Oryctolagus cuniculus: one gene and its partners. The protein of the gene in region 3 purifies or fractionates together with the protein of the main gene of each other region. This does not show direct contact. Links are inferred from orthologs where the notes say so. Each region holds a gene or a part of one and is shown on either strand. Other genes may lie near its edges.

Evidence for each region. Proteins that work in one complex are often made in the same cells at the same time.
Region 1: the proteins of SMARCA1 (region 3) and BPTF purify together in Homo sapiens (affinity purification with mass spectrometry; 4 studies listed by BioGRID and IntAct, with this or other methods). This does not show direct contact. The link is inferred for Oryctolagus cuniculus from reciprocal best matches to the Homo sapiens genes SMARCA1 and BPTF.
Region 2: the proteins of SMARCA1 (region 3) and POLE3 purify together in Homo sapiens (affinity purification with mass spectrometry; 3 studies listed by BioGRID and IntAct, with this or other methods). This does not show direct contact. The link is inferred for Oryctolagus cuniculus from reciprocal best matches to the Homo sapiens genes SMARCA1 and POLE3.
Region 4: the proteins of SMARCA1 (region 3) and CECR2 purify together in Homo sapiens (affinity purification with mass spectrometry; 3 studies listed by BioGRID and IntAct, with this or other methods). This does not show direct contact. The link is inferred for Oryctolagus cuniculus from reciprocal best matches to the Homo sapiens genes SMARCA1 and CECR2.

Annotation. Positions count from the first base shown.
Region 1 is NC_091448.1:13,812,458-13,819,853, forward strand, and holds the start of BPTF (nucleosome-remodeling factor subunit BPTF), read left to right. Parts: upstream 1-2,563; 5' UTR 2,564-2,790; coding exon 2,791-3,409; intron 3,410-7,396. UniProt on the Homo sapiens protein: Regulatory subunit of the ATP-dependent NURF-1 and NURF-5 ISWI chromatin remodeling complexes, which form ordered nucleosome arrays on chromatin and facilitate access to DNA during DNA-templated processes such as DNA replication, transcription, and repair.
Region 2 is NC_091432.1:216,996,540-217,003,667, forward strand, and holds POLE3 (DNA polymerase epsilon subunit 3), read right to left. Parts: upstream 4,834-7,128; 5' UTR 4,759-4,833; coding exon 4,693-4,758; intron 4,593-4,692; coding exon 4,507-4,592; intron 4,204-4,506; coding exon 4,085-4,203; intron 3,490-4,084; coding exon 3,317-3,489; 3' UTR 3,286-3,316; exon of another isoform or gene 2,831-3,285; 3' UTR 2,082-2,830; downstream 1-2,081. Other genes in the region: C1H9orf43 (uncharacterized protein C9orf43 homolog), read left to right, coding at 6,170-6,252. UniProt on the Homo sapiens protein: Accessory component of the DNA polymerase epsilon complex. Participates in DNA repair and in chromosomal DNA replication.
Region 3 is NC_091453.1:107,217,455-107,224,770, reverse strand, and holds the start of SMARCA1 (probable global transcription activator SNF2L1), read left to right. Parts: upstream 1-2,963; 5' UTR 2,964-3,162; coding exon 3,163-3,333; intron 3,334-3,536; exon of another isoform or gene 3,537-3,653; intron 3,654-7,316.
Region 4 is NC_091440.1:97,508,978-97,516,322, reverse strand, and holds the start of CECR2 (chromatin remodeling regulator CECR2), read left to right. Parts: upstream 1-2,512; 5' UTR 2,513-2,702; coding exon 2,703-2,828; exon of another isoform or gene 2,829-2,976; intron 2,977-3,466; exon of another isoform or gene 3,467-3,686; intron 3,687-7,345. UniProt on the Homo sapiens protein: Regulatory subunit of the ATP-dependent CERF-1 and CERF-5 ISWI chromatin remodeling complexes, which form ordered nucleosome arrays on chromatin and facilitate access to DNA during DNA-templated processes such as DNA replication, transcription, and repair.

The sequences.
Region 1 (7,396 bases), on a different chromosome or scaffold from region 3:
CACGTAGGGCGAGCTCCTTCCCAAGCCAGTGCCTGCCTCTGGAGGTCTTGAACAAAACGGCCCTGCACTGGGACCGAGGTCATCACCAGCTCATCGTGGGCCTCCCTTCTGCAAGACAGACCAGAGCGTTGCCACTAGGGAAGGCCCATTAACAAGGAATCCCTGTAAGAGGCTCTATCCCGTCTATGACCCAGGGCGTCAAGACCGTCGGGCAGAGGCTCATGCAGAATCCGGGTCTGCTTTTTCCACCAGTCATGCTTCTGCTGCCATCATCACCCTACAGGAGTTGACCAAATACCTCCTGCCTCCACCTGGTATCTTACACATCTTTGGACCGGACATCTGCCCAACGAACTGACTTCACACTGAAAGGACTGAGTGTCCTAGGGGCTCTGCTAGCCTCGTTGTGCACCCCCACAACCGGAAGCGGCTGGTTTTATGGAACAGTGGGATGGCTTCTAGAATGTTGGGCTTCTAAGCCAGATGGAAGGCAACAGCTTGAGCACTTAAGATTCCATTTACGCTTGGAACCAGCAATTCTGGATGGGTCCGTATCCTCCTCGTGAGTTCCATTTCTATTTACCTGGACCAGTCAATTTTCCTGTTGCTTGCAACTAAAGACCCTAAGTAATGCACTGTGCCTTCTATTCTAATAGTTGGGGTGGTGATAAATTGGCTTCCTCCACTATTAGTCTGTAAACTTGGAAGGCTGCTCTCATTTCTAATATCCTCGCATTCCTTGTTGCACATAGAACTGTCTTTCACACAATGTAGGATACATGCTGCAAACTTGCAGACTCGGCTCTATCTGAACGGCATGTATTTTGATCCATCTGAAGTTGTTTTTTTTTTTTTTTTTACTTAGTTGCCAACATTTTAAAAAAGATTTATTTATTTGAAAGGCAGAGTTACAGAGAGAAGGAGACACAGGGAAAGGGGGGAAGAGAGAGAGAGAGAGAGAGAGAGAGAGAGAAAGCTGGGGCGGGGGAGGGGAGAGAAAGAAAGATAGCAAGAGATCTTACATTCCATGGTTCACTCCCCAGGTGGCTCTAATGGCCCAGGCTGGGCCAGGTCAAAGCCAGGAGCTTCATCCAGGTCTCCCATGGGAGTGACGGGGGCCCATGTCTGGGCCATGTTCTGCTGCTTTCCCAGGCACATTAGCAGGGAGCTGGAGCGGAAGTGAAGCAGCTGGGATTGGAACCAGCACCGGAGGTATCTTAACCTGCTACAACGTTGCCCCCCCCCAACATTTAAAAGCCATGAGATTTCACAGGAAATCCACATTTCCACACGCTCTTGAAAACATCTGAGGAGCTGGTCATGTTAGGCCTGCATTTCAGTAACCATCCCTTTCAAACAAAACATGGCCACTTTTACTTTTTTTTTTTTTTTTTAATATTTATTTTAAAGAGTTAGAGAGAGAGGGAGAAAGAGATCTTCCACCCACTGGTTCACTCCTCAAATGGCTACAACAGCCAGGGCTCCCTCCCATCAGGGACTCCCAGTGGGTGGCAGGACCACCTGCCCATTCCATTTTCTTTCATTACTTACCTGGGCCCAGTGGGTATGTAAATTTGTCACCTTGGGTGCTCAACTGAATCGTACTGAATGCGTTAATTTGGCAATTAGTGCTTCTATATTAATTTTCATTTCGCATGTGTTTCTTCCTCCTAATTGGGTCGAAACAAGCCATTTGGTGGGCAGAATCCTGCTAACTATTATTTCTCGAAATTACTTCTCGGTCGTCACATACTTGAGTAAGTAGCATTACGTGTGTATAACCTCCAGACCAGGCCTTGCCCCGCCGGGATCGAGCGCCCCCGATTTGGGCTGCCTGGGATATCATCACCACGGTCGCTTGCCTGGGCTAAACTGAGACCAGGTGAACTCGTCAGGTAAAGCTATTAAAATCCTCTCGCAATAATAGAAACATACAAGGCGCCGAGGTCGACCGCAGGTGGGCTGCCGCCTTTTCCAAGTTCCGGCCGCGGGGGTCCGGCTCGCAGCGGGACACGGGGGCAGGTGCCCGCGAGACCCCCGGAGGCCTTCCGGGTGTGGACGCCCCGCCAGGGCCCGGCAGCCCGGGGCGTGGCTCGCGACGGGTCCCCCGGGTCCACTTCAGGACTCTCGGGAGTTGCAGGTTTCTGGGGGGCTCGTTCCCGCCGGCGCCGCGCCCTCAGTGGTGACACTCGGGCACTTTCAGCATCACTTTCCCCACGCGGGCGGGAAGGGGGCGGTATGTCGGGGCTCCCCTGCCCTCCTCTCCGCCACCGGGGAAGGGAGGCGCCGGCGGAGGCCCTGCCGAGGCCGGGCGTCGCGCGGGGGGCTCCCGTCCCCCGGGGCCTTCGGCGGGGGGTACTGGGGAGGGGGCTGCATGCCCCTCTCTCCTGAGCGCCGCCGGCGCCCGCGGTCCCGGAGCGCCGGGCCCGGCTCCCCGCCCCCGACTCGGCGCTCCCGCGCTCCCTCTAGCGGCCGCCGCGCGGCCTCGCTCCGTCCCAGGCTCGTCGGCGGCGCAGCTCACGTGACCGCGCTCCGGGCCTGCGGCCGCTGTCGGTTCCCCCAGTCACCGAGCGAGAGGGAAGAAACAAGATGGCGGCTGAAGGCGATCCGGAGTGGGGCCCCAGCAATTCGGACTGAGCCTTCTCCCTCCACCCGCTTCCGCCGGCCGGGCCCCTCCCGCCCGGCCCCGCCGGCCTCCCCACCCGGCCCCGGCGCCCCCCACCGCCCCCACCCCGCGCCCGCCCCTCCCCCCTCCGCTTTCCCTTCTCCCCCCCGCGCCTCGGCTCCGACATGAGGGGCCGGCGGGGCAGGCCGCCCAAGCAGCCCGCGGCTCCCGCTGCGGAGCGCTGCGCCCCGGCCCCGCCGCCGCCGCCGCCGCCGCCGCCCACGTCCGGACCCATCGGGGGGCTCCGCTCGCGGCACCGCGGCAGCAGCCGGGGCAGGTGGGCCGCCGCCCAGGCTGAGGTGGCGCCCAAGACGCGGCTGAGCTCGCCCCGGGGGGGCAGCAGTAGCCGGAGGAAGCCGCCGCCGCCGCCGGCCCCCCCCAGCACCAGCGCCCCGGGCCGGGGGGGGCGAGGAGGCGGGGGCGGCAGGACGGGGGGCGGGGGCGGCGGCGGCCACCTGGCCCGGACCACCCCGGCCCGGAGGGCGGTCAACAAAGTGGTGTACGATGACCACGAGAGCGAGGAGGAGGAGGAGGAGGAGGACATGGTCTCTGAGGAAGAGGAGGAGGAGGAGGAGGACGGCGACGCCGAGGAGACCCAGGATTCGGAGGACGACGAGGAAGATGAGATGGAGGAGGACGACGATGACTCCGATTATCCGGAGGAGATGGAAGACGACGACGACGACGCCAGTTACTGCACGGAGAGCAGCTTCAGGAGCCATAGCACCTACAGCAGCACTCCAGGTACCCACCCAGCCCGGTGGCTGCAGGCTGCTTCCCCGCCGCCTCCCCCTCCCCCTGCTCACTCCCTCTCGAGTGCCGGGCATCCTGCTCCGGCCTCCCCCCACCCGCCTCCCCCCCCCTCGGACGGAGGGGAAATGCGACGGCACAGCAAGTGGCAAAAAAACTAGATTTACAAGAGGAAAGAGGCGCATTGTTCAAAATGGAGATTGCATTGTTGCAGTTTGCAGGCCACACGCTCGCTCGCCCTCTTTCTCTCCCCCCCAGCCCCCTCTTTTTCCTCTTCAGAATTTGTGCCAGTGCAGTGGCTCCACCGGGCAGGATCGAAACTTTGGCACTCGCCTATCCATTGCATTCATTTTTCTCCCCTTGTTTTGGTGTGGTTTTTTTTTTTTTTTTTTTTTGGAATGAAAGAAGCCTCTTGTTTTGCAAAAACCTCTTTGCATTTCTAATGTGGGCTCTTTGAGATTTTTATTATGTATCCCTTCCTTAAAAGGGAATTAAGGATTGGGACAGATTGTGGCACACAAACACGCACAAAACACGCTTCTCTTCGCACGCCTAGCTGGGCGGCTTACAAAATCGCGTGAAAGAGATGGGTCGGTGGACTGAGTCGGGAAGCCTTATCTGGTCCCGTGTTTGTTTTTATGCTTGGAGGGCTAATGGGCCGGTGCAACAGTTGCTAGTCAATTGCTGATTAAAAAGCAGTGCAGAAAAGCGCAGGAAAGCAGCCTTGGAAATGCACCCGATCTCCCAGAGCACCTTGGTGAGTCCACAGCAGAAGTGCAGAGGGGCAGGCAGGGCCGCCGCCGCCAGCCTGGTCCCTGGGCTGCGCTCGGGCTGAGCCGCCTCGCGTCACCTGTTGCGGAGGCCGTGGAGGTAGCTGATCGGGCAGTCGGCCTTGCCGGAGATGAACTTTTGGGATCGCTTCTCAGTTCCGCGGCAGAACGAGCAGATCTGTTACTCATTTTGTCCTTTTCCGTTTTGTTTCTGAAGAAAAAAGCCCTCCCTGGCGCTGGAGTGAAGGCTGCTCCGAGTGTTTTCAGAAAGTTCCTCTAGGAGATGCATTTGGTTAAGCACACTCGCAGCTGCTGCTTTGTGTGAAATCCGTGGTTGTGGCTCACTAAATTGTGAGGGGAAAAAAGAAGTAACTTGTAGCAGCAATCTGCATGACCTTTATATATTGTTAACCTCCATGAACTAAATTACAATTTGGTGTTAAGAACGTTTACAAAGTAAAGTTTATGAGGAAATGAGTTATTTTTAGAGAGACTAGGGTAGTAGAAGCAGTTAGAAGGAAATGTTTTTTTTTTTAAATAAATGCTTACATATGGGGGAAGTGTGGGTACTAACAGGTGGACGCGCACTTAGATTGCCCTGACATTAAATGAAGAAAGGTAGTTCATTTCTTTGGGCTGACAGGACAGCTGCCTGTCTTGCTCCCAAGAACCGAGCGTCCGGCACGCTTGTCTCCTGTGCAGAAGGAGCTAGATGCAAGTTTTGTCATCTCCTGTGGCAGTAGTTGTCACTGAGCAGTCGCAGGTTCATCCCCTGTGTGGAATCATGGAGACTGACTGACTGCCACCACTGCAGGAAGTTTCCCGGTTAGAGCTAAGGCTGGCAGGCAGGCGGCTCCGCTAACTTTCACTCCCATCTGAGGGCCCAGCAAATCATGCTAGGGGGGTTGATGGCTGTGCTGAGTTGAAGTACAGTTTGTGGTGAGGCTTCCTGTTTTTTTTTTTTTTTTTTTTTTTTTTAGTACTTGAATATTTGTGATACTTCCTTGACATTTTGTTTTTCTTAGCGACGCTGGTAGCCTAATTTGTGTATGCTTGTCCCATCCATATATAAAATTAACTCCTTAGTGGTAGGTATTGATGTTATACTCCCTGAGCTCTAAACCAGTGTTTGGCATGTAGCAGGTGCTCATCAAAGATTGATTGGATACGCAATTATTTGCTAGGTGAGAACTTGCAGTAGATGAAGTTTTGGTCATTCTGTAATTGGCAGGCGTAACTCCTAGACATTTTGGACTTGGGGAACTAAAAGTTGGTCTGATGAGATTCTGATGCTCGCTTTGAGTAGTTCATGTCCAGTCATGGAGTTACTGTTCCCAGTGCTGTTTCGCCTTGCTTCCCAGGTATTTTCCTTCCTTTACCCGATGTGGTATTAACTGGGATGTGTTGCCTTTGGGTACACATTACTTCTCAGGATTATGGTAAAAATAGATGCTCCATTGTGGGACCTAAACTTTGAGAATATGTCCGCTTGCCTAGTGAGTGGCACTGCTTGCTGACAGTGAGTTGTCAGGTGCTGGTTTCAGTAGTTTTGTTGTCTGGACTTCCCAGGAGGGAGGCTGTCAGGTCAATGTGTATATGCATTGGAAAAAAAGAAAACTTTTAGGACTGGTTTAAGACATCCCATGTACACATGAGAAAATGTGGTTGGTGTATTTGAATCCTGTTGTACTGTTAAGGCTAAATGAGGCATATACTTTATTGGTAATTTAGAATATTTGATTAATTTTTAGTTTAGAATGTTGGCTTAGCTGCTAACATTAAATCCCTGATGTAGGCAATAATCTCTTCATCTGTTGAGTACTACGTAGGTAATTCCAGAGGTCTTCAAAAAGTTCATGGAAAATATCTCTAATGAAACCATTTTGGCTTTCAAGATTGTTTTGTGCCTAAATAATTTGTCTTTTAATTCCATTTTCCATGGAGTTTTTGAAGTATCCTTATACAACTGTTGATATAGTCATAGATTTAAAAATGTTTATTCATTGGAGAATATTTTTTTCTTATAGAGAAAAATTTTAAAATAGGGATAACAACTTATTACTAATGCCAAATTGAAATCATTAGGTTTGCTAATGCTGGAGGCATTTGGCTGAATAGAGCTTTGATTTATCTGAATTTTTTAAATGGAGAATTCTTCCAGCTTACAGGTTTTATGACAGACTTTTGTCAGTGCACTGCAAAGGATTTGTATTGGAAATCTGGTCCGAATACACAGCTGAGAGAGTTCTGACCACTCTTTGAAGTTAAGCATTTGCTTATTTTAAGAAATTAAGTTATGCTTGAACAGAGTGGTTCTTGCATTTAATTTGTGTGACTTCTGAGAATACTTACCTGGAATTTTGAAATTTGGAACCTCTGATGATTTCAGAAAGCAAAACTTCTGGTGGTATCCTGGGAGAGTGAGTGATTATGTCCTCTAAGGAAGATGACTGTTGGAGTCTGGCCATGAATGGATCTGTAGATCACCCGATTAAGCATTTGTTAAGGGTTTGGCAAGTCTCATTTCCACCAGTGTCAAACACCTTTTCAGAATGAGTGCGATTCCTGATTGCTACAGGTTAGGTACAAAGTGCTGGGGGAGACTGCAAGGCAAGGCAAGGCAAGATCAGACCCTGTTGAGATGTGTGTGGGCGTGAGCCTGTGTGCTTCCTGCAGGGGCCTTGGATTGTGGGGCCGGTAGAGGGAGGGCGGCAGAGGGAGAAGTGTGGGCAGTTGCAAGTAATGAGTTTTGCTGGAGCCTGAGGATGTGAGTAGGAAACAAACTAAAGCTCTGTTGTATGCTGCGTTGGGCAGTACCTGGAGAACCAGGCTGGAGTCATTGTACTTTTCCTCCCTCATTGGTCCAATAAGCATTAGGCCTCAGGCATTTTGTACTCCCCAGCACCCAAGGGGTATGCTGGATTCCCACAAGCACCTCGCATAAGCATGAACCAAACCAAGTCACAGAAATGCCGTTGAGCCACAGTTATTTCCTTTTCCTGCTATTTGAGAGAATTACCAGGAAGGTGGCCTGAAGCCCTCTTTCTCCCAAACCCATTGCATATCTGTTTAATTTTAGGGGTTGGGATCAGTCAGAAGATGTGGAAATGGTGGGGTATGATTTAGTGAGACTCCTGGGGATTTAGCGTGGCTTCTGTCTGCAGGATGGGTCGGAGGAGAGGGAGATAACTGCTGGGATCTGGATGGGTGT
Region 2 (7,128 bases), on a different chromosome or scaffold from region 3:
CTGGCTTCAGCTGACCCAGTCCTGGCTGTTGCAGACATTTGGGGAGTGAACCAGTGGATGTAACCTCTGTCTTTGTCATTCTGCCTTTGAAATAAAGAAACTTAAAAAAAAAAATGGTTTTTGTTCCATGAATTTCATCATAACTTTATTTTTTAAAAATATTTATTTCAAAAGGCAGAGTGACGCAGAGAAAGATCTTTCTGTCTGCTGGTTCACTCCCCATATGCCCCAAGCAGCTATATAACTTGTTGCTACATGTGCCTGTTCTTCATCTTAGGCTTAAAAAGTGAGCTCACTTCCAATTTTTGTTCGGACATTTTTATAGAAAGTTTGTTAGTAGTAAAACAGGTGCAAGGCCAGTGCTATAGTATAGATTAAGCCTCCGCCTGTGTTCTGGTATCCCATATGGGCACTGCTCAAGTCTAGCTCTCTGCTTGTGGCCTGGGAAAGATGGGAAGATGGCCCAAGTGTCTGAGCCCTGCAACCACATGGGAGACTCGGAAGAAGCTCCTGGCTTCAGACTGGCCCAGCTCCTGCCATTGTGGCCATTTGGGGAGTGAATCACAGGATGAAAGACACACCCCCAGCTCCCGCTTTCCGTCTATATTACACGTTTCTTAGTTTTGACAAAGGCACCATGGTTTATGCAGTACGTGAACACAGGGAAAGTTGAGTGAAGAGTATGAGATTCCTGCAATTCTGTGAAACTTTTCTGTAAGACTGTTCCAAAGTTTGTTTGTTAAAATAAAACAGAAGCACAGCTGAAGGCCACCGGGACCCCAACAGGATCCCCATTCTTGTACATTGGTGCGATCTTGGGCAGGTCCCCTCGCTCCAAAGAGCCTTTCACCCGTCAGTGAGAGGTCTGGGGAGTGAACCAGCAGATACAAGACCTGGCTCTCTGCAACTCTGCCTCTCACATAAATCAATCAATCTAAAAACAAAAAACCAAAAACCTGTAGTTTTAAGCCAAATATTTCTAAGGAAAAAAATTTTTTTTTTTGGTGTAAGATTGGTGAGGAGGGGCAGGATGGATGGAGTTATAATGCAGTTCTTTTGGGATTCACTCCTGACAGGTGCAGTCTTATGATGGAGTAGCAGAATAGATGGAACGAGCTGTCCTTACGCAGGGCTTGTGTAACTGGTTTGTTTGACAGGAAGCAGGGTTGGGGGGAGGACTGTAACGCAGCCATGTTCCAGAAGGTTCACTTGGCTAGTACAGAGGGGAAGCAGAGATGAGGCAGGAAACTCAGCTCAAAGGAAGCCACAGGAGTCCAGATGGGACTTGGCTTAGCCTACAGCGGTGCTCATGGGAATTATGAAAGGATGTTTCTGCTGTGGACAGGGAAAAACCCATTGGATCAACTGACCGTGAAAACCTGCATACAGTTCTTCAAAAAAATATTTATTTGAAAGAGTTAGGGACAGAGAGTGATCTTGCAACCTCTGGCTCACACCCTACATGGCTGCAACAGCCAGGGCTGGGCCAAGCCAAAGCCAGGAGCCAGGAGCTTCTTCCAGGCCTCCCACATTGGTGGCAGGGGCCCAAGCACCTGTGCCATCTACTGCTGCCTTCCTAGGCCATTAGCAGGGAGCTGGATCGGAAGTGGAGCAGCTGTGTCTCAAACCAGGGCCCACATGGGATGCTGGCAAGGCAGGTGGTGGCTCTACCCACGAAGCTACAATGCCAGCCCCGATATGCATGAACTTTTTATGATTTGAAAAGACTGCGTAGGTTAGAGTGCGGTTAGGAGCAGTGTGGTTAAAAGGTAATGAGGGTGACAGCAGGGCTGCTTCCCAGGGTCTAAGAGGTAGTTTTGGCAGGCATTCGGAACAGCGCCAGACGCAGTGGGAGCTCAGGAAGTGGCGTCGCTGGCTTTCTAAGGTGCCAGCCATGATCAGGCTCGCGCCAGCTGAGCAGCAGCACCCTTGCCTGTGAGCGAGCGGCATCTGCTGGCCGCCAGCGGTGATGCAGGCTCCCGTGTTTCCAAGATCTGGCCCGGGGATCACACCCCAGACACTGTATGGGGACTTGATCAGTGGCTCCTCTCCAAAAGCACACGGGGAACACGCAGGCGTCATCTCTTCTAACAAGAACGTTCTTTATTCGTACAAAGCATTACAATCTTCTCAACAGCCATCACTCATTGAACGCCTCCCTGTGTTCATTTAACAAGTTGACAGTGTCAGACTACACTTCCCTACCTGTCAAACCCAAGCGCTCAACCTGCAAACAGAACAGTGCTTGTAGCACTGACCCAAAAGAGAGAAAGGCTCAGAGAGGCCAACAGGGGTGCTTTAGAAGCAGCTCGGGGGCACGGCTGGTGGGCCAGCCATTACATTCCTGAGCGCCATCTGACTGCCCTAAAGGGTTTGTATGACATTCTTTTTAAAAGCCGAGAGATTAGAACTAAGAAAGCAGAAGGACTTGCACTTTGGAATACTAAGCAGACTGTCAAAGTTCCCAGACTGGCAGGACTGAGAGAGAAAGTGGAAATGAGAAGAGCCACAGGAGCGGAGGGAGAGCTGTGCCTAGAGGGGAGACGGTCTGGAACTCTCCGTGAACTGAAGGAGGACGCTCAGGCCCCAGCCCGGGAGGCGGGCTTGGCCTCCAGCAGGTTCTCAAGTGCACATGGCGAAGGCAGTGAGGCGCCTGCTCCGTAAGACCCCGGCGTCCCTGCCTGCCTGCCTGTGGTCTCCACTGTTCAATCCGGAGCGCGTGAGCTCAGAGCGCGGCGCCCGGCCCGGCCCGCCCCAGGCAGGCTGCCTAAGGCACACAGATGAGCTCCAGGGTGAGCGGGTCTAACAGAATCCACTCCCACGGATGTTCCTGCCAAGGGGAGAGACAACAGAACAGATTTCTTTAATCCTCCAGTTCTCTTAGCAGTGTCCTAAAGCCAACCGCCTGACCACTTCACGGGTTTCCACGGCCACATCGTGTGCAAGGAAGCCCAGCTTTCTGGAGCCTCATGGCCTCTGAGACTTGGAACACAGCAGGCAGCAGGGGAATTACGACTCTCTTCAGGGGTAGGAGGACTGGGGGTCAAAACCTACCCAGCCATACATGTAAGCCAACACGAGAGATCACACTGACTAACGGAGCGAGCTGTTCAGTGACGACCGCCCGCTCAAGGAAGCGGCACAGGGCTGTGCCAGGCGGCTGCGCGGCGTCGGGAGCGCCGGTTCGGCTGGCGGCCTGCATCTGCTCCAGCACTCCAGCCCGGGGCAAAGCAGCGCACAAACACGGAGCCCACGGCCACCGCCCGCCTGCCTCCCGCCGCCCACCTGCCTCCCGAGGTCCAGACTCCCGCAGCACTCAGTTGTCAATCTCCTCCTCTTCATTCTGCTCTTCTTCCTCCAGCCTCTCCTCATCTTCATCGTTGTCCTCGTCCCTGCTCTTGTCCGGCTCTTCCGAATCCGCCTTTTTGTCTTTGTCTTTCTTCTTCTGTTCCGAAGCTTCCTTCTTGCCCCTCTGCTCCCGCCTATAGGCTGCAGGAAGAGGGGCGGGGTTAGGAGACAGGGCTGGGGGAGACAAGCGGGGACCGCAGCCGGCAGCATCACTGGACAGCTGGAAAAACCAAGGGACACGAGCAGAAAAGGACCTGGCGAGCAGCACCGAGAGGTCTCGGGTGGTGCCACTGAACTACGTCCGGTCACATCCGGTACTGGCTTTCTGGGCCACTCTTTCACAGTCCCAGGGCCACATCAACAGGTCACCCGTCTTCCATGTGGTTTGGGAAACAGAAGGGTACGGGCAGGCACTGGGGGCAGGGATTAAGGCGCAGCTCGGAACGCACGCATCCCATACCTGTACGGGAGTGCCTGGTTTGAGTCCTGGCTCCGCCACTTTAGAGCCAGCCTCCTGCCGGAACACCTTGGATGGCGCAAATACTTGGGGCCCTGCTCCCCACGTGGAAGACCCAGAGGAAGGGCAGGGGTCCGGCCCGGCCCGGCCCGGCCATAGCTAACCTGGGCATTTGGGGAGTGAACCGGAGGGCGGAAGATCTCGCTGTGTTTAACGATCTCTCTCTCTCTGCCTTCCAAATAAAGTGAAGAAGAAGAGAAGCCACGCGGGGGTCGTTACCTTCCAGGGCCTCCTTCAGCGGGGCGACGAACCTCTGGAACTCCATCTCCTCCATGGCGGACAGCACGTCGCTGGCATTCAGGGTCTTGCGTTTCCCTTTCATCGCGAAGTTGTTGGCACTGAAACAAAGCAAAAAGGGCTCTAAACGGCTGCCCCCTTCCCTCTTTAGGACGCGAAAAGGGGCACCCAGGGGTGGGAAGGGAGAACCCAGGCACATCTTGGCCGTACAGATGTTTGCGTAACCTGCGTAAACCCTGCCCTTGCCCGTACCTAAGTCTGCTGTTCGAACAGACCCGGGAAGACCCGGGAGGGGGGTTTACATGGGTCCCAGACCACAACTGCCAGCAGCGGTTCCCGGTGCCTCCCCCCCACCCTCCAGGCCTTAGACCCAGCCGGACGCCGGCTCGCTCTGTCCTGCTCACCACGATGTGGCGTACAGCACGAAGACGCTGGCGGCGCGTGAGATGGCGCTCCGGGCCTCCTTGGAGATGTTGACACCTTCCGGGAGCTGTGATGACGGCGGGAGTGAGCAAAGCCGCCGGCCCAGGACCTGCTTCCCTTCTGCCCGCTCGTCCGCCCCCGGCCCATCGCCAGCCCGAGCTGCTCACCGCCTCCTTGATGATCCTGGTGATTACGGCGTTGGGCAGGTTTAAGTCCTCGGGCCTCTCTGCCATGGCCGCGGTCGAGGCCTGAGTCTGAGCCTAGGGCCTCCTCCCCAGGTACCTCCAGCGTCCGGACTTCCCGCGCCGCTGCTGTCTGACCCTCCGAGGCTTCCGTTCCGCCTCACGTAGGCCGCACCGTGTCCCACAGTGCCCCGCGCCCCCAGCCTTCCTCCTACGCCAGCCCCGCCTCTCCACCTCAAGACGCTTTGCACCCGAACTTTTTGCGCTCGTAGCGGTTTTGGCTCGCTGGATCTTTCGGTCAGCGCCCACCGTACGCCGCACGTTCTTCCTCAGAAGAGTGTCTCTGCTTCACGCTCCCGCTACGTCCAGAGCTTTCGCCTCGAACTAAGTATGGCCCACGGAGGCTTCCGTCCGAGCCCCATCGTGCTCTGCGCCGTTGCTTGGCGACGGAGCGGCCTCGCGCCTCGCGTGGGAGACGGAGGCGTGGAGCCGAGGCGGCTGGGTGGGGCCCCTCCGGACGAGAGGCGGGGCCTGGTGAGCCATTACCGCCGAGCTCCTCGCCGGGCGGGGCTGCGTTGGGCCCCTGGATTTCGGGAACCCTCGGGGTTTCATCTTTGCCGTGGTCCCGAGGAGCCGGGACCCTGCGAGGCGGAACCGCTCCCTCCCGACAGCCACAGTGTTTTTCCTGTTCCAGAACGCAGCGGGGAATCTTTCTTCAGCCCAGCGCTTGCCGATGTCCATCCATCTTTCCGCCCCTCACGGCGCTGTGCTAATCCTTACCAAGGATAGGTGTTAGCTAGGCTTTTTTGGGGAGTTACCTTTTTTTTCCCTTGAGCTCTTGTTCACAGCGGGATGCGCCTGACCAGACTTAGAGGTTCATTTCGGGCTGGGCAGGAAAGGGCGGGAGCAGCCGCTTTTAAAATACTGCATCGTCCCATTTAAAACAGCCTTGTTAAAATTGCGTTTAGTTTTAGTTCATTACATTGTGTGTCGTACACCTTTCCCAGGCAAAATCATACCCAAGGGTTTCTTCTTCTTCCTCTTCCTCTTCTGTAATTAACAAATCTTTTTTATTTGGGAAGAGAGAGAGGAATCTTACATCAGGTTCAGTCCCCAGATGCTGGCCAATGGGTGGTGAGCCAGGTGGAAGCCAGGAGCCTAGAACTCAATCCAGGTCTCCCACGTGGATGGCCAGGACCCAACTACTTAAGATTTAGATATTTGATATATATATATGTGCATATATATATATATATATAAAAGAGAAAGCGAAGGAGATCTCCCATCTGCTGATTCACTCCTCAAATGGCTGTGCCCAGCTGGGCCAGGATGAAGCCAGGAGCCCCTACGTGGGTGCAGGGGCCCGAGCATTTGAGCCATCCTCAGCTGCTGTCCCAGGTACATTAGCAGGGAGCGGGATCAGAAGTGGAGCAGCCGGCACTGGAACCGGTACCCATATGGGATGCTGGCACTGCAGGTGGCGGCTTTCCCCACGACACTGCGGCTCCTGCAGTGGCACTTCAAGTTGTATTCCTTTCACATTAGGTATGTGGAAATTCTTACTGCCACTGAGAACTAATCCAGTTGTTTTTTTCCCCTTGAAACATGCTGTCTCAAATTTTTCTTGCTTTTGATGGATACATGATTAGAGCGAGATACTTCCCTATTAGAAAAACAGCAGAGCACATGCCATGGTAAAAGGCAACCAAACTTGAGCTAGAGACCAGGACCTCGTGGGGGTCCTACTGTACTTGGCTAGGGCAGACTGGGCGTAGAGATGCCAGGAGCTGGAACGCTTCAGCCAATTGCTGTGTAGTTGGAATTGGGCCCAGTGTTGTCAGATGTTTTGATCTGTAAGAGGAGCCAGAAATCTGGATATTAGGGACTATTTCGATTTTTGGTAGGCTCAAAGTGCCTGCCAAACTAAGCAGGTCAGGTTGGGTACAATCCAAGGCCAATAGTTCGCTGTCTTTGATCTGACAAGGTGTTCAGAACATGGTTTGCTTATCAGTGTTCTCCGTGCCCCAAACGAGCCCTCTCATATCTTTGGTAGTCAATAAACATGTTGGATAAAAGAAAGAAGAAGTGGACACTGTCCTTAAAAAGCATTAGGGATGGAGTGGTAGTGATTGCCTGAAACGTCTGCAGAGGGAAGAAGATTCTGAGCACCCATAATACCAGCAATTCAAGTGTATTATCTTATTTAACGATTCCACAGTTCTGCTTAGGGGTTCACACGCACACACACACACACACACACACACAGCCAGCCGCCTGCCCCAACCACACACGTTACGTGAGGAAACAGGCTAAGATGAAGTCACTTGCCTAAGACCTTATGCTTACAGCCAGTAAATGAAAAAGTAATGACCTCCGAAGCAACTACAAGTCTACTGATTTGCTATTTGAGTGTTCAAACCC
Region 3 (7,316 bases):
AAAAGTATTTAATATCACCAGTGGACATACATTCTTGTAGCTACTAAACAAGTTTGGCTATGGGAAATGATTATTGTACAGCCTCTATGATAGTCATAATCTGTCAGAATGGACATATCTCTCTGTAGTCTGGGATTAGTTTTGCGGTTCCCAAATACTGCCCCAAGGGTTCTTTTTTTTAAAAGTTTGCTTTGATCTCCAAGCCCAGTGGAATAGAGCAATTAAATTCCATTAGCCGGCGCCGTGGCTCAATAGGCTAATCCTCCACCTTGCGGCGCCGGCACACCGGGTTCTAGTCCCGGTTGGGGCGCTGGATTCTGTCCCGGTTGCCCCTCTTCCAGGCCAGCTCTCTGCTATGGCCAGGGAGTGCAGTGGAGGATGGCCCAGGTGCTTGGGCCCTGCACCCCATGGGAGACCAGGAAAAGCACCTGGCTCCTGGCTCCTGCCAGGATCAGCGCGGTGCGCCGGCTGCAGCGGCGGCCATTGGAGGGTGAACCAACGGCAAAGGAAGACCTTTCTCTCTGTCTCTCTCACTGTCCACTCTGCCTGTCAAAAAAAAAAAAATTCCATTTAAATGAAAATACATAATAGAGGGAAAGAGTAGCAGAGAACAAGGTGTTGAGTAGGATCAGAGGCAGGGTGACTTGTTGCACAGAGTCTACAGATCATTAATTTTTAGGCAGATTTGCAAATAAGGATAGCACACGCTCTGTAAATAGCAGCTGTTGCCATCAGCCAAAGGGCAATATTTACACGAATCCTGTGGCAAGGTCTATTGACTAAGCATCACCCTTTGCAGCCAAATTCATATACTTGATAGCACTTTCAGCCATGTCATCTTGAAAAGGAAGGAACACATTATACATACATGGACAGCTGCCAACGTACAAATATGTTCTGTTCCTCCAATCAATTCCTAACTTTTTTTTTTTTTTTGGAACTTGGAACTCATGGTCCTACAGAAAAGGTCTTAGAAAGGGATGTGGATTTTACAGATCTCACAAATGTGCACTTCGCTCACAATGTAAGTGAAATACTGCACACTGGTAATGAGTACTAGAGTGGCACAAAGTACCTACGCAAGCAGCAGCCCAATACACACCAATTAGTTCTTCAGCTTTTGTCCTTTGAAGCCCCAGGCAATGACAGGGAAACTCTAGCTTCCTTAGCTGTAGTTCTGGGAAAAAGACGTCCTCCATTACCGCTGCCTGTCCCTGTCTTGGGTCCTTGCCTGACAAGGGTCCTAGTCAAGCCAGTGGCATGCTACTTTCTATTGCAGCATCCTTGTCTTTCCACCTAAGAACCCTTTATCACTGAGCAGATAGCACAGATGCTGGGGAAAGGGTAGGGTGTCTAACTGAAGTCTCAGGTTCCTCTTTGGAGACACTTCAAATTCCGAATTCTGTAGTCCATTCGTGAATACATCTATACACTTTAATTTAAAAAAATCATATTTCAAATGATCCATTAGGTAACTTAATTCTGTCCCATTTTTTGACTGAAGTCGACGCTTCAAAAACACAAGCCACTTTTATACTAAGACACTCTGTCTCTTGGCTAGTACACATGTATACTTCAGGATAAGAAACATGGGCACTGGGTGGGAAAATCTAAAGTAAATGAGAACATAATGAACATCAAATCAGAACAAAGCTAGCACCACCAGCTTCTCCTTTCCTCTCTCATTAGCACACCCCTTCAGTTACTAGTTTCGTGTTCTCTGCCTCTTTTTCTCTATTCCAAGCCAGTTCTTGGACAGGATCTCAGACTAAGGTGGAAATGACCAATACTAGCTAAAAAAAAAAAAAAAGTCACAAGGTTTTTGCATGTATAGGATTTCAGGCTTTAAAACAAAAATAAATTTAGGGTATAATCTCTAAGAAAAAGGAGCAACTGTTGCTGCCCTGCTATTTGAAGAAATCACACCTCATTTCAGCTTGGTAATTTAAAAAAGCATGCTGAGGAAAATTAATCATGACTTCTTTTCACTTTGGAAAGTATTGGCTTCATTTTTGGAAACTGCAGGCTTTGTGGTGGTTGTTTGGCTTACTGTTTTGTCTTGTCCCTAATGATGGAAAATTAAAGGCTAGCACGTAAACCTAACCTGATCAAAATAAATGGCGAGGAGAAATAAAAGTTATAATACTGGTATTCAAAAATTACATTTGCATATTGTTGCACGCTTTACAAGTATTTTTACATGCACGCTTATGCTCGCTATTGGTGCTCAACTACTATCAAATAATAACGGGGATGCGAACATAACAAGAACCAACAAATCACAGTAATTCAGTTATTAACATTAGGTACCTACCATGTGTTGCCCCAGGTTCTGTGGAGGACCTTGACCTTGTCCCCCAGGAGTTTTAAAATTCAGTGGTGAAGGCAAAATAAGGTCTTTTGCCCACTGGCCTTCTGAGAGGTACGAGTTGAAATGCGTTGAAATACGTAAAACCCACGAGTGAGGTTTTGCCTTGTTAGTGAATGTTTGCAATCAAGATATTCAAAGAGCGCGTCTCTGGCAGAATTTAGGAAGGTGGGAAGAGCACCAGCAATCCAACTCCTTTAGAGACCTGGGAAAGGGCAGTCCCCGGAGGGGTTCCGGGCTTTGCAAACGGGGGAGAAAGCCTTCGGCTTACAGTTATATGCCCAGAAAAAGTTCTTTGTGCAAGAGGGGAGGGCGCCCCGAGGTACAAAGAGCAGATATATGGGAAAGTGGATTCCGTTTGCACACATTTGTGAGGGGAGCTCAAGCTCACTATTGGGGGCCTGTGGCAAAGGAGATTTTTAGAGGGTCGCGGGCTGCGGGTTCCCGCCTCCACCTAGTCCGCGCCTCTAGCTTAGGCAACAGTTGGTTGTGCGGGGCCGGCCCCGGGCTCTGGATGGGGAGGGGGAGTCTCGCGATCGTTGGGGGGGGGGGGTGGGGGAAAGGGGGGAGGGTGACGGGGGGAGGCCATGACGTAGAGTGGGTGGACGGAAGTGGGGCAGGGTTGAGGGTTATTTAAAGAAGGGGGGCCGCGCGAAAGGGTTGGAAGCGGAGTGATTCCCCACCCCTGCTCCATCTAGCTCTTTCCAGTGCAGCCGCCGCCGCCACCGCCGCCGCCGCCGCCCAGGAGCCCTCATCCCCTTCCTCGTCCCCCTCCTCGTTCCCGCTCCAACGCCATGGAGCCGGACACCGCCGCAGTGGCAGCCACCGTGGCAGCGGTTGATGCGAACGCCACAGTCGTGATTGTGGAGGACGAGCAGCCGGGGCCGTCCACCTTTGAGGAGGGAGCGGCCGCCGCGGCCACCGAAGCCACCGCCAGCACAGAGAAGGGCGAGAAGAAGAAGGAGGTAAATAGGAAGGGGGTGTGTGTGTGTGTTTGTGTGGCGGACAAATCCTGTACAAGGTCCCTCTGAGGGGCCCCAAGCCCTGACCTTTGGGCGCCGACAGGTACCGACGGAGCTCGCCAGGGATGGGGGCGGCGGGCTCGTAGGGGGCGGCGGAACCGTCTCGCGTTCGCTCCCCTCCCCCTTTCCTTCTCGCCGCCGGGAGGGCGGGGGCGGGGCTGGCGCGCGGGCGGCCGCGGCGCGGGGTGCCCGTTATCCCAGGGCTTGGGGGGGCTTGGAGCCCCTCGACAACCCCCGATCCCCTCCACCTTCCTGGAACTGGGGTAACGGCTTGGGGGATGGGGCCGTGCGGGAAAAAGCCTCCGCCTCCCCGTCTCCCTTCGCTCGCTCCCTTGCTCGCTCCCTCGCTTACTCGCTCCCTCTCCCCCCCGCTTCCCGTCGGCCTCTGCCTGGGAAATCTGGGCCCTTCAATCCCACACTCGCGCTAACGGGGTTTGGCTGGGGCTTATTTCTGTAATTTGAATTTCAAGGTGTTAGAGGTGGAGGGGTGGAGGATGATAGGGAAGACATTTATTCCTTTGATTGGCAGTGTCGGGCTTTCGGTTGACAGAAAAAAAATCATCCCTTGTTCGTTTGTTCCCCCTCTACTGAGGCGGGGGTGTCACCCCGAGAGAACGAGCTCTCCGCGTGGTACCCCCCCCCCCATCCAAACGCCAAATTGAGGAACCGCGGACGCTGGCTTAGGAAAATTTCCAACGTCTGCGCCCTCACCCTCGTCTGCCCCGCCCCCGATGGTATAGTGTTTCACTCCAGGGCCACCCAGATGGTCCCCCAATCCGGCCCCAAGCCTTCCAAGCTTCCGCCTCCTTGCCCTAGTAGGCGCTGCTCGCTCCTCGCTCTTGGACACATGCAGGTTTTTGTGTGTGTGTGTGTGTGTGTGTGTGATTTCTTAAATTTTTTTTTTAAAACCCAGCGTCGCGAAGATGAGCCGCTACTAACATACGTAAAGGGAGCGATCTCACATATATTAAAGCCAAATCCAGAAAATATGTATTAGTTCTAGAAGGCATACTTCATATGGATTGAACATACAAATAAAACTATGAAATGCTTCAAAAATTGCTATAAAAATAGAATGGGGCATAAGGAGTTTTGATGGTTAATCAAATAGGAGAAACGATCGTTTATGGGTAGATTTTTTTCCCACTTATGAGTAGACATATCGCAATTAAAAACGGTGGGTGATTAAAATTATGCTTTACAGATCTCAAGTGGCTTTGTCTGAATCATTATATGATCCTATACGGCCAAATGAAAAGCTTTTGACGGAAATTAACACCTTTTGCCTTGAGTTAGAAAGTAATTTTAAATCCAGCACTTGCTTAAGTGATATATTTTACAGTTTCAAGGTTAATTAAGCAGAAAGACAATTGTAGTGCTGAGTGAAAGCCATAGAAAACATATGCATTTTAAAATTTATGCAGTACTTGGATCAGCACAGCAATATTCATGATGAAAGCTGGGCTGGTACCAACCATAATATAAGTCAAATGTTGGAAAATTCAGACTTGTGTCTAGGTGCCTTTTATTCGATAGACTGGGCAAGTGTAAGTGCTAACCTATTATTTTTTTTTAGTATGGTTGTATAGGTTGTTGAATTTCCAGATTGTATAATTTTTTTGAATTGCAAAAAACCGGGAGGAAGGGTCAATAGTGAAACCTGTGTAAGCGCTGAGTTGTTGCCTATGTATTCAACTACTGTGTAGCCTCAGCAGAAATCACCCTCATGGTACTTCATTTGTCTGCTTAGGCTAGGGGAATGAAGTACCACTTGGCAGGAATTTCCTGGTTATACGAAGTTTACTACTTTAAGTTTTCCTTAAAAATCTAAATATGTTACATATTTGACTTTTAAAAAAATTTATTTCTTTGAGAGGCAGAGTTAGAAAGAGAGAGAGAGGTCTTCCATCTGCTGGTTCACTCCCCTAATTGGCTGCAATGGCCAGAGCTGGGCCAATCCAAAGCCAGGAGCCAGGAGCCAGGAGCTTCTTCCGGGTCTCCCACGTGGGTGCAGGGCCCTAAGGACTTGGGCCATTTTCTGCTTTCCCAGGCCACAGCAGAGAGCTGGATTGGAAATGGAGCAGGCGGAACTCGAACCAGTGCCCATGTGGGATGCCAGCACCACAGGCAGTGGCTTTACCCACTATGCCACAGCGCCAGCCCATACCTTGACTTTAAGTAATGTACAAAAAAAAAATTAACCTTTCATGAGCATCAGTTTTTGTACTCTGATGGTGATACAAAGCCTATTGAGATCCAGCGGGTTGTTTCCCTTCAGTTAAATAATAACTTTCCAGTTCTTCCAGTATTTTGTTGATTTTTAAAATATGTTTGTCTTGTCCCTCAGTTGCCAAGCTGTTAGCTATCATATTTTTTTAAAAAATGATTTGCTGATTTATTTAAGAGTTTCAGAGAGGGAGGGATCAACCTTTCATCTGCTGGTTCACTCCCCAAATGGTCACAACAGCCAGAGCTGGGCCAGACTGAAGCCAGGAGCCAGGAGCTTCTTCCAGGTCTCCCACATGGGTGCAGGGACTCAAGGACTTGGGCCATCCTCTGCTGCTTTCCTAGGCCATTAGCAGGGAGCTGGATCAGAAGTGGAGCAGCCAGGACTTGAACTGGTGCCCATATGGGATGCTGACATTCCAGGTGTTGGCTTTACCCTCTAGGCCACATCACTTTTTATGCATTATCTTACTTTCATCAGAAAAAAATTTGTTAGTTTATGACAAAGGATATATGTGTGACAAAACCATAAAACCATTGTAAAGTGCAGAAATGGTGCCGCAGCAGGGAGAGGGAAAGGATTACTCCTGAACACCAAGGATAAGGTGTGCTCCTGCAGTGACGTGCACATCTTAGTAGTGGGCGTCTGCTCTTCCTTCTTGCTGGCCTCAGTGGGCTTGCCTTCCTCTAGTAGTGTTTCCCATGTCATTTGTTGTTGCCTTGACTCTCTGTAGTATGGGAAGCCAGATTACAAAACTTGCTAGAATCGTATGTCCACTAAAAGAAAACAGGCTTTTGGGTGAGAACATTTTCTCTTTTTTCATTTTTAAAAATTAATTTATTTGAAAGGCAGAGTTATAGAGAGGGTATTGATGTTCCATCTGCTGGTTCACTCCCCAAATCACCACCGTTTAGGGGCTGAGCCAGGCCAGAGCCAGGAATCTGGAATACCATCTGGGTCTCCCATGTGAGTGGCAGGGACACAAGGAGGTGAGCCATGTTTTGCTGCTTTCCCAGGCATATTAGCAGTATGCTGGATTAGAAGTGAAACAGCTGGGACTTGAACCCAGAACTTGAACCTGGAACTCATGGGATGCCAATGTCACAAGTGGCAGCTTAACCCACTGCTCCATAATGGTGGCCCCACGAGAGCATTTTTGTGAATGAGGTATATGAGATTTAGTGAATTGACTTGCACTTACTTGGTTTAAGTGACAACTAGATAACTTAACATTGTAGAAAATGGAGATTTTAGTTTTGGTAATGAAAATGTCAAGATAAAGGTCATGGTTTTTAAGATGAGATGTTGATGATCTTGTGTTGCATTCTTATGGCATCTAGGCTACTGAATGCTAACATCTGTAAGGAATCATTAAGATGTCTTAGTTATCTTTTTTCTTGTATGAGAAATGTATTTTTGAAAACATAAATGCATATATGTGTGTCAATGGGTATATATGTGTGTATATGTGTGTATATGTGTGTGTGTGTGTATAAATGTGAAGATTTAGAAGACAGGTATTTTAAAATTTGTTGTGGAAGATAGTGCCAATTAAATTACACATAGTTTTTAATAGCACTGCTCAAGAGTAGGAATTTTAATTAGCATATAATTAAATTTTTATGATATCCTACTGCAAGGTAAGGAAAAAAGTAATGCATAAAACGTTTTTCTAAATAAACTAATTTTCTGTAAGTGA
Region 4 (7,345 bases), on a different chromosome or scaffold from region 3:
TAAAGATTCAGGGTATCAATTCCAAAGGGTCCGAGACATGAGACCATCTCATGAGACATGAGGTTCTAGCTGGAGCTGAAACCCAGGGCCCTCAGATACAGAGGTACAGCCAGACCCAGTATACTTTAAACCTCAGCTCCTGGGGCTAGGAAAGTCCCAGGCGCTAGGCAAAGAGCAGGGTGGTGAGGAGTGAGCCTGCCAGGGAGGAATCAGGCGAAAACTATGGAGCCTGTTTCAGAGTCAGAGAATGATGTAGGGAGATAGGTGTGAAGTACTGACCAGACGAACACCACGAGACTGCCAGGCAAATCCTGCCGAGGGCTCGAGACCGGGAGACAAACTTCTGGCCACCACCAGGGGGCACCTGCAGGTCCAGGACAGCTTTGTTGATCTCCAGGACCTGGGGAGGAAGGATAAGGACAATGGCGCAGGCTTCCCACGGGGAGTGGTGGGTGTGGGTGGCTGCAGTTAACTAGAGTGACCAGGCTTCTCGCCTTCTGCCTCCCGGTATTGTTAACCTCCGAGGCACTGTGACGACTAGCCTGGCTAGCAGCGCCAGCCCAGAGGCCAGGTAAGCCCGCGCGAGGCTGGTCGGAGGAGACACATGGACAACCAGAAAAAACCAGGAGCGGGGAAGAACAGTCAGAAACACGTGAAGAACAGCAGTCACAGTTGAGGAGAAGATCGAGTGACGGAAGTCCGGGAAGCATCTAAATCGGGATGAATGCCACAGCGGCCAGACGCCCTTCCCACATCTCTCCAGAGTAGCTGTGCTTCACCAACATCCAAAAACGCAGCCTCTACTCCCTGGGAGGATTTAGATGTCCCTTCATTTTTTTTTTTTTAAACAAAGATTAAAACACACGGTAGAATTTGAGGATGCATTTTAAAACATCAAGGAGTTCCAAGTAATGAAAGAACAAACTTTTAAGCGGTTTCTCTGCCTAGAGAGGGAGAGAGATGTTAGGAAACGATGTGAGATCCTTGAATACGCGAACACACTGGTACATTTTCTTTGAGAATTTTTAAATATGTAAATATCTGAGATGATGAAAATGATCAGAATAAAGAGGGGGGGTGGGGGTAGAGGGGAACACGCAGACCACCCCGAAGTCGGGCTCGGCAGCCGCGGGGCTCCTCACGCGCTGGCCACTGTCCACACAGCTCACAGGTAGCAGATGTCTGAGGCAGTCACGGCGTTGTGCCTGTCGCTCAGCGAGCGCGCCTGTGGGGGCAGCCCAGCTGAGGCCCTCCGAGACTAGGGAGCGCCAAAGACCCAAGCAAGTATCTGGGCACTCAAGGTAGTTTTTCTAAACTTCCAGCCGGCGGTTGAGGTGATTTTTTTTTTCCTTCGGGTAAATTCCAACGTCCTGAAGCAGTTAGCATTTCTAAAGCACACACCTGGGCCGGCTGCAGCCGGAGCCCTGCCCTTCAGCCCGACTAGCAGGTCTGCACCCCCCCGCAGACCCCAAACCCTAGCTCTTACTCCCATCCTCTTCCCCGCCCCCAACCCACGTCCTAATACATTGTGCGCGCTCTTCCAGGCCGCGGTCAGTCGCAGGGCTCCAAGCGCGACTTCTTCTGGGAGGTCACACGTGTCCATTCCCTGGGGGCTGGGGGGGGGGGGTTGTCCTCTGCTCGCTTGGCTGCTGATTGGTGCCTCCCCCTACCCCACCCTTCCCGCCGCACTCCAGCCTCCATCCTACTCGGTTCCAGCCTAACCAGCCCCACCACCCTCTTCGTTGGAGCAAAGAGCCACTTTCGAGCGTCTTCAAGCACCGTTCTCGCGTGGAATAAAAGCGCTAAGGCACAGGTGGAAGCCACTTCCATCTCTCTAGACCTCGTATTTCTAGCGTAGACACCCAGTCCCTCTCCTGCGCTCCCTTCAACACCATAATAACTCAACTCCCACACGTGCACGTTTTCTGGATCTAGCCCCTGTCGAAAGCACCACCCAGCGGGCCCTTTAAAAAGGACGCGACCACTAAGGCCAGGTGGGGGGGGCAGAAGAGACCCTTATTGTCCTCCCTCGCAAGTCATTAAACTCCGCCGTGCCCAACACCTGAGAAGCGAAGTGCGGTTCTCAGCAGTTTTGGGGGGACGCACCCTGCTCCCCTCAAGGCACACCACTCCTCTCCCTCGGGGGCCCGATTCCCCGCCCCTCCCCCTCCGGCTCCAATGCAGCTGTCCCGGCTGGGGGTGGGGAGCGGGGGCGGGGGTTGTTGTTGTGGTGAGCGGCAGCCCCGCCCCCTCCTCGTGGGCGGCCCCTCCCCCCCGGCCCTCTGTTCGGCCCCGGCCCCCGCCCCCAGCCCCATCTGTTTTCCCCGGCCGAGAGTCGATTATATTGTATGGGACGGGGGGCGGCCGCAGCCGCAGCCGCAGGATGGGGCGAGCGCGCGGACCGGGTCGGCTGCCGGAGCCGCAGCCGCCTCAGTAACTCGGGCCCCCGCCCCGCCGCCCCGCCGCCCCCGCCCGCCCTCGGCCCATGCTCACGCCGAGCAGCGGCCGCCGCGGGAGTAGCAGCCGCCGCCGCCGCCGCGCCGCGCCGCCGCCGCCCCCGCCAGAGGAGCTGAGGCGCTGAGGCGCTGAGGCGCTGCGCCGCGGCGGGAGTCCGAGGCGAGCGAGCTGCGCGCCGGCAGCGTGGGGGCCGCCGAGGCGCGCGTCGAGCTCGGGGTCGCCGCCACCGCCGCCGCGGCCGGGAGATGTGCCCAGAGGAGGGCGGCGCGGCCGGGCTGGGCGAGCTCCGCTCCTGGTGGGAAGTCCCGGCCATCGCGCACTTCTGCTCGCTCTTTCGCACCGCGTTCCGCCTGCCGGACTTCGAGATCGAGGTGAGCGGCGGCCGCGCGGGGCGGGCGAGCGAGGCGGCGCACGCCGCTCCCCTTTCTCCCTGTGTCCTCTCGGGGCGCCCGGGGCAGGAGGGTGCTGGGGCCGGAGCGACTTTGGCCGGGAGTCCGAAGCCGGGAGGAGGACGCGGAGGTGCGGGCGCGCGGGGTGGAAGGGCAGGCGGCGGGCGGGGCCGCTCGGGCTCTGCGCCGGGCGCTGGGCGCCGGGCTCGGGACGTTCGTTCGGGCGGCCACACTGCCGAGCCGCGGCTCCTGGCAGGGGCGAGGCGGGCGGCCAGCGCGAGGGAGGCGGCCGAGGGAGCGCTTTTGTAGGAGCGGGACCGGGCGGTTCTCCCGGGACTTCTCGGAAGGCGGCTGGTGGGGAGCGAGCGCGCGCTCCCTTGCCGGGGCCATTGAAGCGCCGAGCCAGCTGCCCCGGGCGGGGACGCGGTGCGGCGGCCGCACGGGGGGCGCCGGCGCTGGGTTTAGGTCGGACCCGGGGCTGGGCGGCGGCCGGGGCCGGTGGGGGAGGGAGAGGGCTCGGCCGGCTCGGCCGGGCGCGTGGAGGGGCAACCGCACTCGAGCGACTCTCGGGGCCGCTCGGGCGAACTTCGGAGCGGCGGAGGTGGGGGCCCGATCTCGGGGGGCGCTCCCCGCGGGGGCGTCTGCAGGGCGCCGAGTCCTCGCCGGCGGCTGCGGAGGGAAACTTTGGGACTCCCGTTATTCTCCGGCAGCCCCCTTTCCCCCTCGCGCCGCTCAGCCCTCTTTATTCCGGCAGCTCGGGAACTCTTTGAGTTGGCCTCGCCACCATTATGCCCCCGGGCGAGCGTGGAGGGAAGGGATGGCTTTTCGGCCGGGCCGAAGGTGCTTTCACACTGGGGCTTTGTGATAAGGAACTAAAACTGGAGGGTCCGGGTGGCAGGGATGGTGGCGGGAGTGTGCGGACCGGAAGGCACACGACGGCCACGGCGAGCAGCCAGCTCCGGCAGCATCCTCCTTCCTTTTATTTATTATTTATTATTTTTATTTTTTTGGGAAGGGGGGGCGAAATGGTTGATGGGTTGGTTGGCAGGTTGTGTGTGGTGACTTACCACCTTTTGCCTTTGGACAAAGGTAAATGGGAACTGTGTGCCGGTTTTTGTTTCCAGTTCTGCCAGAGGGTTCGTCCGTGGAGTAATCAAAATTAGGGTCACTCTTTTGGAGGAGCCCATCCATGTTTTTTTGCCTCCCCACCCCCACTTATCTTACTTTCTGCCATTTTCCGGTTGGTTTTCGTTCGTTTGCTCGGAAATTCTCTGCCTCACTTTTATATTGTTAGATTCGGTCGTGTTGTCTTGAAATATCATTTGCTTCTCACAGAAATGAAGTGTGGGAACTTGCCCTTAGAGCGTTAATGAAATCGGTAAAATAAAAAAGATCAAAGGGGTTGGGATGAAGGAGTGAAGAGGAATGTGGACTGATAAAGTAGGGCCACTGGCAGGCTTTGGCGAATGCCAGTTGCTTGAGCTGATTAAAACAAGGCGATTAAATCATAGGCTTCTCCAGTTTTTAGGAAGATGGAATAACTTAGGCAGTGCACCCTACACCACAGCGTTTGCTTTCAAAGTTTGAACGTGATTTTAACAGGCGGAGTGTTTGTAATAAACATTTTCACGAGACAGCAGGTTATAGTGACTAAAGAAGAGAAGCAGACCATGGAAATGAAAAGATTTGGGAATCCTGAAAGTTAAGATGCTTAACAACGACTTTGATGCCCTGCGTTTTCTTTTAGTTGGTGTAAAATCGTGAGTAGCGTGAATATATCCTGCTGCTCAAAATGGTGGCTGCTGTGGGAGGTGTTATTTGTGACAGTGCCATCTTGGGTGCTGGTCAACCTTCCCCCTAGACGTTTTTCTAAGTTGCAGGCTAGTAAAGTTGAGGTGATGGCTGGGATTACAAGTTTAAAATACTGTGGAAAAAAGTCGTCCTTTGAAATCCATATATTCCCATTTTCTTGATGGAAAAGTAGAGGCAACTCATTTTTCCCCCCTTAAGTACGTACGGCATATCTAGCGTATCCTATAAGAAAACAAATCAAAACAAACTTGTCTCCCTTCTCAGAAGTAAAACTGTAGTTTCTAAGTGTTAGGTGGTTTGATTCCTAAAGGAAATGTAAGCTGATTAGAGGTCAGGTTTATCTGAATAACAGAAATGAAAACTCATTGGTGAAGAATTAGGGCTGTTTGAAGTGATTTTCTTTATTTTGATTCTTCGCTTAAAATACTTGCTACTAGAAATGTATGTGAATATTTGGGTTCTATCATGTTCATATTTTAGGAACCCCTCAATTTATTTGGACTTGATCAGTAAATAGATAACAAATAGTACTAAGCCCCCCCCTTCACCCCATAGATCTTGTATAACTTTTCATGTTGGATGTGTTTTGATATGACTAGTGTAAGTTTTCACTTCAGATTGTTGGTATTATCAAAAATTGAAAATTTTAAAATTAACTTTTTCTAGACTTTTAAGAAGTTTTGACTCATTGACAGTTGAGAATTTACTGAAAAAACTTAAAATTTTGATTTTTCTAAATATAAACTTCTTTTTTCTAGGTGACTTTAAAGATTTAACTGTTTTAGAAATAGTTTCTTGGTTAAACTTTATGATGCAGTGAAAGTCCCTTACCAAAAGAAAAAACAGCTCTAATGCTGAGTTGTACCTGATAGACCATGTGCAGAGGCAGGCAGGCTGTACAATCTTAATTTGCTATAACTTTAAGAGCTACAAATTATGAATAGTACCAGATAGAAGTTGGGTATCTGTTATTTTCTGGACAACTAGTTTTTAACAGTGGGAAAAATCTCATTTTACCCTTGACCAGCAGGGTGAACCCATGGATCTATAGAAAATTAGGAAGTAGGATCCTCAAGGACTTGGCAATCTCTCAGATAGGTGAAGGGGCCTGGAGGATTCACGCTGCAGATCTGCAAGAGGTCAAGACATGCCATTCAGAGAACTGGACCCCAGAGCAAGGATATTTTTATTTTTACATGCAAAAAAGTGTTTTTGCTTGGCAAAACAGTCAGTATGCTTGATTTGTTGGCTTTAGGAAATGTGTAAGGATTTGTATGTTGCTGTCTTCCAGTAAGGGCCCCCCACAAATATGAAGGGTCTGTAATCATCATGCGTATATGGTTATAATGCTTGAAGTTACTCAATTTCTGGTTTTAAAATGAATACATACACATTATGTCAAAGAAGATTACAGGAAAATATATATAAGAATTAAAGTCACCCATAAGCACCACTTCAGGGTAAAAGTTGTTAACATTGTATCCTGCCACTCAGGGATAAAAGCTGTTAATATATTTCAAAATTACCAGATATGCTCACAATGTATTTGTGCCATAGGTTATTTTTCAGATGAGGAGATTGAAGTATAGCTAAACAATATTCACTACTCAGTACTTAGCATCATTAAGCACCTATTGTGTGCTTATCAAATTCACAGTTGGCTTCCTTTACCTCAGAAGATTATCTGTTAATATTTCAGAACCAGCAGTTATACTCTACTTCATTTAAGTCAAGTATTTTATAATTGTTTAATGTTTTAGTTGGTTAGGTTGGCTTAATTTTGGCCAGCTTTGAGGAAACAAAGAATGGTTAATTAACCTCCCCCTAAGATTTACTACTGGGTTTTTCCCTAGCCAGGTTAGGGAAGAATGCTTTTCAGCAATCTGGTTGGGTGTTAATTATGATGGATATAGGACTAGCGAGGGCCTCTAGGTAGCTATTTGGAAATGATCATGTGAAAGTATTTGAATGGTTTGTTTAATAGCAGAATGATCAAAATAATCTATCATTTCCACCATTCCTGCTTCCCACTGCTTGCTCTTTTGCTTTCCTTGTGTCTCTTTCCTGTTGTGGTAAGTCTCTTACCTGATCACATGATCGTCAGGGGGCAGTGCTCAGATTCTGGAATTCTGCTGTTGGTACTTCCTTGGATCCAGTCTCTTACTCAGGAGCATCAAGGCATGTATTTAGTTAAAAATCAAAAGAGGTAGTCCACATCATTGTGAGAAATTTATATGTACATCCATCATATTAGCAAATCTTGAACCTGATGGCCTGGAATTGGCTGTAGAAGATTTTGTGATGTATTGTGTGTACTTCTTAGCACTTTATTTTTGGCTTTCATCGATTTTTTTTTTTTTTTTTTGGAAGAGATCAGCTGCTAGATGAAGAAGTTGGTCCTGATGAGGGAATTCACCATTCAAGGTGCACTGGAGTAGGAGTTAGTTAGCAAACTTGTATTTAAAATGCCACTGACTTTATGACCTTGGACAGGGAAAAGTAACAAAATGATAAATGACTTTTGTATAGTATTTTGTATATTTTCAAAATGTTAGTTTCTATCCTTAGTGGTCCTTAACCATTACCATGATGTGAGGTTACTCTGGAGGAAACTGGAAGTTTAGAGAGGCTAAGTAGCGTGCACAGGGACTCTCACCTAGATCTTTGTGTCTTTGATACCAAAATCT